2 linked regions of the Mus musculus genome follow. The main gene of each other region encodes a partner of the protein of the gene in region 2 in a complex. Links are inferred from orthologs where the notes say so. Each region holds a gene or a part of one and is shown on either strand. Other genes may lie near its edges. The genes, in order: Flt3l and Flt3.

Region 1 (3,065 bases), on a different chromosome or scaffold from region 2:
TTTACCTACATGCCTGTAAGTGCACTGAATGTGTGTCTGGTGCCTGCAGAGGCCAGAAGAGGGCACCAGATCCCCTGAAACTGGAGTCTCTGCTCCGTGTGAACCACCACGTGGGTGCTGGGACCCAGGTCCAATGCAAGAGCACCCAGGGTTCTTACCTGCTGAGCCACCACTTCAACCCTTTTTCTTTTCTTTTGAGATAGGGTCTCATTATGCAGGCTAGGCTGACCCTGAACTCAAAGCAATCCTCCTGCCTCAGTGTCCTGAGTGCTGGGATTACAGGTATGAAGCCAGAACATCTGGCTTCCTTTCCTTTCCTTTTTTTCATGTTTTTGTCATCATATATTATGTATAGCAACGTCTCATGTCATCCATGTCTGCATTTCCATCACACCATGACTTTCTCCTGTGCGTCCTATCTCACTGATCCCCTTTCTCTCTCCAATGGTCCCTCTCCTTTCTTTCCTTCATATATATATGTATATATATGCACATATATATACATATACATATATATATGTATATATATATATATGTATATATATATATATATTTTTTTTTTTAAAGCCAGTTAGGCAGGTAGCCTGTAAGAGGGCACTTTACCCACGGCTAAACTTCTGAAGAAAATGTTTCTTCCTGTTTAGCAACCTTCTAATTGCTATAGATGCCCAGGAAAGGACAGGCCATTCCTTTTTATGGCCCCAGGTCACCTATCTTTGAGAAGGAGACAGAATTTCCAGTATGTTTATCTAGGGCAGTCCTGTGTACAGGGAACGTACACGGAGTGAGCATGGTTTCTGGGTAACAATACCAATAGCCATGCTCACTGTTTTCTCTTTTTTCCCCTCCCCTCTGTTTTGACGGTGTTCTTTTGAGACAGTCTGTCTCTATAGTCCTGGCTGCCTGTAGCTTGCTATGCTGACCAGGCTGAGATCCCTCAGCTTCTGCTCCTGACTTCTGGGGTTGAAGGTGTAGACCAGGATGCCCAGCCATGCTCACACTTTTTATCCCCAGTGTTGGTTTATTTTTCAGTGTTTCTTGATACATTCCTGTCAGTCCTACAACTTACTATGTAGACCAGGCTAGCCTCAAATTCACAGAGCTCTGTCTGCCTCTGCTTCCTGAGTGTTGAATTGTTAAAGGCGTGGTCTGCCAGGCCTACCTTATGCCCCCAGGTCTAGGTTTTGTTGTTAATAGGCTCCTCATGAACCACCCATCACCCGTATTCTCCAGGACGTTCCACGTTTGCGCTGATGAGCCCCCTCAGTTACCTGCTTCTTCTCTCTCCCCAGACTCCTCCACCCTGCTGCCCCCAAGGAGTCCCATAGCCCTAGAAGCCACGGAGCTCCCAGAGCCTCGGCCCAGGCAGCTGTTGCTCCTGCTGCTGCTGCTGCTGCCTCTCACACTGGTGCTGCTGGCAGCCGCCTGGGGCCTTCGCTGGCAAAGGGCAAGAAGGAGGGGGGAGCTCCACCCTGGGGTGAGCCTAGAGCCTAGAGTCCAGGGCGGCTGGATGGAGTGGGTGGCGAGGGATGAGGGGGGCAGGTGGCTGACCTTGTGGGGGCCTCAGGTGCCCCTCCCCTCCCATCCCTAGGATGCGAGCCTTGTGCATCGTTGACTCAGCCAGGGTCTTATCTCGGTGAGTCTTCCACTTATACTGGAGCCTGGAACAGCCAGGCTTGGGGGTCAGTCCAGGATTTGGGGAGCTGTCTTATTGTCTCTCACAGGAGGGGCGGGGATTCAGGGGAGTGGTGTGTATGTCAGGGGCAGCACGGTCTTGACTAAGTGTCCAGTGTGACAAGCTCAGGGGTTCGGCAGCTCCGACAATCGTAAGCTGTGGAGAGCCGGGAAGGCTTGTGAGAGAGCCTGCTGTGAGAATGAGCAAGGGGGCAGAAGGCGGGTGCCCTGCCAGCACCCGTATTTTAGAATATGATGTGTCTTACACTTGTAATACCTCTCGTGTGGAGGTTACACCTGTAATCTCAGCCCTTGGGAGCCCAGAGCAGGATTGCTGAATGGTCTGGCCACTCTCCACTACAAGGTGAGTTCAAGGCCATTGTGAAATACACAGCCAACTCGTCTCCTGTCTCAAATAAACAAACAAAAACTCTCAGTTAAGTGACACTTATTTTTTTTTTCAGATGAGGTCTCAATATGTTGCCCAAACTGACTTTGAAAACCTCGATGCACCTTCCTGCCCCACAAACTTCCAAACAGCTGGGCTTACGGGCATGCTATATACAACAAGGCTTTCTTTTCTTCTTTCTTGGTGCTAGAGTTGGGAACCAAAACAAGGAACAAGCTAGGCAAGTGCTGTGCTGAGTTACATCCCCAGCCCAGAGGACACACTGTCTGGGTATGGCGATGGACACTGTAATTCCAGTGCTTCTGGATTGGACATGCTGAAACTGGAGGATACTGACTTTAAGAAAAACAGAAAGGAAGAAGGGGGGTGCGTTGTAGCCCTGTGTGGTTGCTTTTGTCACCTCCACCCCTTAAAATAAAAGCAACTGCTGGGTATGGTGCTGCGTGCCTGGAATCTCAGTATTCAGGAGGCTGAGGCAGAGGGATCAAAACTTCAAGGCCAGCCTGGGCAACTTCAGGAAATGTGTGTCAAAATAACAATGAAAAGCAGAAATGCTGGAACTGGAGCTTAGTGGCAGGATCCCTGCACATGTAAGACTATGGCTCCTAATCGGGGCGTGGTGGCGCACGCCTTTAATCCCAGCACTTGGGAGGCAGAGGCAGGCAGATTTCTGAGTTCAAGGCCAGCCTGGTCTACAGAGTGAGTTCCAGGACAGCCAGGGCTACACAGAGAAACCCTGTCTTGAAAAAACAAAAAGCAAATGAACAACAACAAAAACCAATTAGATTGTTTACATTTTTTAAATTTAAGTTTTTAAATTTTGTGGTTTCCCATTTCTGGGCTTGTTTCTGAAACACACAGCCATAGTGATACATGTCTGTAAAACCAACTCTATTTATTAGTTTTTGAGATAGGGTCTATGTAGCTCCGATGGCCTGGAATGTGGGTGCAATCCTCCGGTCTCTACCTCTGGAGTGCTGGG
Region 2 (3,821 bases):
CCGAGTCTCACTCTGCAGCCTTGCCTGGCCTGGAATTTGCTCTGTAGACCAGGCTGATGTTAAACTCACAGAGACCAGCCTGCCTCTACCTCCCAAGCGATGCTGGGATTAAAGGCATGCATCAGCATGCCATGTGTGATGCTGGTTTCACACAGTTGTTAGTTTCTTAGGGTTCACAAGTCCATAGATAAATCAGTAAGGTGAAATCAGGAGATGGGGTATAAAAGGAGAGGAAAAGAGCAAGAACACAGAGGTCAGCTCTTACAAAAATTTAAAATTTACTTTCTTCTCATCATTTCATCTACAACTAGGTGCAAGTTAATAAGATGGAGAAAGGCAGAAACATTAGGATGCAGTTAAAACTAGAGCAGAATTTAGCGGCTGAGCTTAGCCTGCCATTTAGACTAGAACTTACACACACACATGCACATACACACACACACACACACACACACACACTCATACATACATATGCACATACATTAAATACACACACAAAAATAATGACGGTTTTATTCAATTACTGAAAAGGAGATATTTTGCTTTAGCTTTGCTTCTTGTTTATTTATAGATGCTCTTTATATATTGTTACTATCTATCTGTAGTTAATAGTAGAGATAGTTTTGTAGACTACAAGTATCTTTTCTCATTCTGCGGTAGTTTTCATCTTTTATCCCTGTAATTTCTAAACTTGGTTCCCATTCTACACTTTGGTAGGGACATCAGAGTTTGTCGAACCTGTCAGTACCCTTAAGTGTCATGTTCCCAGAACTGTTCTGAATGGGGACAAGACATTTGCAGACCACAATAGCAATGTTGTGGTGTTCAAAGGTTGGACAGCCTCCTTACTTCAAGGGCTTGCCCCTCTCTTAAATAGAGCACTGAAGCCAGGGGTGGTGATGTGTGTCTGTAAGCCCCAGTGCAGGAAGTGGGAAGATCAGGAGTTCAAAGCCAGTCTGGGCTGCACACTGAGACCTTATCTTAAGGAAAGAAAAACCTTGCTGTTGGCTTTAAGCATCTTCAATTAGGAGCTGAGGCCACTGGGAGCTAATTACTATGCTAATTACTATTTGTGTGAGTTAGCTCAGGGGTCCTGGGGCAAACTTTCCCTGTATCACTCCATCTGATCCACCCGCATCGCAGCTCCCCACACCACACCACCCCCACTCCCTAAGCTGCCTTAACTGAAGGAATCCCAAGTGTTCTGCCATCATGGTTGCTCTGTATTTTTTCATCTGAAAAATAATGTAAAATTAAAAGCAGCATAGAGGCAGGAGTGGTGGCACACACTTTTGTGCCATACATGGGTGGCAGAGACAGACATACATGTCTGTGTATTCAAGGGCAACCTGGACTACAGAGGGCCAGCCAGGTCTATATAGTAAAACTCTGTCTCAGAAAAAAAAAAATCTGTTAATCTTCTAGAACACAACTGCTTGTACAGTGTTGCAAAAGAGAGAGAAAGAAGGAGCCCGTGGAGCCTGTATCTTCACTGGACAAAGAGCCCACACTTAAATGTCCCACCAGAGGCCTGAGGAGGTAGGAATGGGGCAGGGGTGGAGGCCCAGGCAAAGAGCAGCACAAGACAGCTCCTGAGTTGTGTACTTCTGGGTTTGTGTTCCTGTTTCAGTCACTTCTCTGAGAAAATGGGTGAGACCACTCTGTTCTTGACTTTGCCATGCAGGCTGACTGTGTGATCCAGGATGATGACCCTCGGGGAACCTAGAGTGTCCCCCAGTACTAGGAGCTATGACGATAGGACCACAAATGCCACCAAGGCTCCAAGTGGGGTGACAAGCAAGTGCAGAAATGGCTCTCGTGGGCCCCCAGTTTTGCCAGTCACAAACACATCAGGTGTCTGTGTTCATATCAACACACAGGCCAACCTCTGTGAGCACCTGAGGTGGGGCATGCGGAGGTCCATAGGGAAGGGCCTCCGTGGTCACTCCTGACCATGGTCACTCCTGACAGGCCCCTCTGTGGCTGCACACTGCCTCAGCTTCGTGAATCCGAGTCATCCACAGGGAAAAGGGCAGCCTAGCAATGTGCAGCAGGCAGCTTAGTGGGTGCCAACCCTGAGCCTGTGGCACTGCCTGAGCCCCCAAAGACACAAGGCTCTACATGCAGCCACCTCTGCAGTCACAGGAAGGAAAACAGGGTGCACGGTACATGTAGCACCATGTCTGCGCCAGTTAAGGCACCGGTCTGACAGTTTACATCTGCAAAAACCAATGTCATCCTCAGCAGCCACCCTGGCTGTATGCGATTATCTATTTTCAGATTTTAATTCATTCACATGAGATAAAAAATTTTTTAAAAATGTCCCCTGCTTACACTAGCCAGTGTTCTTAACTGCCGAGCCACCGCCCCAGCTCGGAGGTATGGGCTTTCATTCCCCTTCAAAAGCTCATAGTATTAGAACCAGAAATAAAACCCAGGACATTTAGTCAGCAAGGTGCCAAGTGCTTGCAATCAAAAGATTTAGGAGGATGAGGCAGGAGGATTGTGAGTTCAAAGCTACATACTGAGTTTGAGGTTAGCCTGGGAAAAATTTGGAGACACAGGATTTTTTAAAAAATTATTATTATTATTCCCAAGTCAAAATACTCTTTGCAGTTCTTCCAGGTCTGTGTTAAAAAGTCCTGAGTAGCTACCTTTGGTGACCCCAGAGATGAGTGGAAGCACACTAGGTCCCGAAGCACGCACTGCCTCGGGACGCAGGAAGTGCCCAGGAGGCGGCCACACTTACCTCTTACATTCACTGTGAACAGTACTGTGTAGTTGGCGGCTTCGCTCTGAATATGGAGTAGGTATTCTCCTGCCTGGGTCTCTGTCACGTTCAAGATGGCCATGGAAACGATTCCTCTGCGGAATGAGAAAGAGGACTGGATTCTCTGGAAAACACTCAGGACTAACAGCCTCAGCTTCTCCATGAGTCAGAGGGTGAGCGCTGTCTTCGAAGCTATGGCTAAGGGCTGCTCTGTGCAGAACCCGGCTCTGGTCCAGCACCCAGGCTCATCTTGGGCACAATCAGCTCGGCTGTGACTTGTACCTAACACCCACCCTCAGAAGTGAGATTTGGCTCAGTAGTAGAAGAGGGCTATAGCAGTGGGAAAAGCCGCAATTTTACAAGGTTATGGGGTACTATTAGTTGTTATAAACATTTTGTACAGATGTATCTCATACCCAATAACAAAATACTTATTTTGTCAGGGCATATCAAGGTTACAAATTACATATGTACATCAACCTTTAAAGTTAAATTATTTTAAATATTTATATTTATTTATGTATATAAATATTCATTTATTCTTCTTGTATGTGTATGAGTGTTTTGCCTGCACGAATCTATGTGCATCACTTGCACTCAGTGTCCATGGAGGCCATCAGATCTCCTGGGACTGAAGTCACAGACAGTTACAAGTGGCAGTGTGGGTGCTGGGAAACCCAACCTGAATCCACTGGAAGAGCAGCTCATGTGCTTAACCATTGAGCCATCTCTCCGGTGCCTTGGGTTTTATTTCTCGGAGCAGCATTGGATCTGCCCACTTCACCACACACCCTTGGTGTTATCACTATCGTGTGCAGGTCTGGTTTGTGCTAACAGAAGAAGAGAGATGGGTTACCCTAACCCTCATCACCACCAGCTGGCGTCTACAGATGCCATTAATGTCTCTTTTTGGGCAGCACCTCCTACACATGACAGATACACAGCGTCATGTGCCCATATCCTAATCCTACGTGCGTTCATTATTTCAGCAGAGAGAAGTCAAAACACACACACGGATGGATTCTCAGTCAGGCCCAGTGGTGTATGCCTG

The links.
Region 1: the proteins of Flt3 (region 2) and Flt3l are in contact, whole or in part, in a crystal structure (PDB 7QDP), measured with the Homo sapiens proteins. The link is inferred for Mus musculus from reciprocal best matches to the Homo sapiens genes FLT3 and FLT3LG. Residues at the interface, in NP_004110.2 of Homo sapiens: Asp180, His279, Gly280, Phe281, Gly282, Met300, Ser301, Thr302, Tyr303, Asn306, Arg307, Met309, Arg311, Ser333; in NP_001191431.1 of Homo sapiens: His34, Ser35, Pro36, Ile37, Ser38, Ser39, Asp40, Lys44, Lys87, Glu99, Asn102, Thr103, Glu104, His106, Phe107.

Annotation. Positions count from the first base shown.
Region 1 is NC_000073.6:45,130,640-45,133,704, reverse strand, and holds the end of Flt3l (fms-related tyrosine kinase 3 ligand precursor), read left to right. Parts: exon of another isoform or gene 1-282; intron 283-1,292; coding exon 1,293-1,477; coding exon of another isoform or gene 1,478-1,567; coding exon 1,568-1,591; coding exon of another isoform or gene 1,592-1,615; 3' UTR 1,616-1,636; exon of another isoform or gene 1,637-2,110; intron 2,111-2,138; exon of another isoform or gene 2,139-2,273; 3' UTR 2,274-2,516; downstream 2,517-3,065. UniProt on the Homo sapiens protein: Stimulates the proliferation of early hematopoietic cells by activating FLT3. Synergizes well with a number of other colony stimulating factors and interleukins. Required for the development of B cells, and dendritic cells (DCs).
Region 2 is NC_000071.6:147,372,894-147,376,714, forward strand, and holds part of Flt3 (receptor-type tyrosine-protein kinase FLT3 precursor), read right to left. Parts: intron 2,866-3,821; coding exon 2,750-2,865; intron 1-2,749. UniProt on the Homo sapiens protein: Tyrosine-protein kinase that acts as a cell-surface receptor for the cytokine FLT3LG and regulates differentiation, proliferation and survival of hematopoietic progenitor cells and of dendritic cells.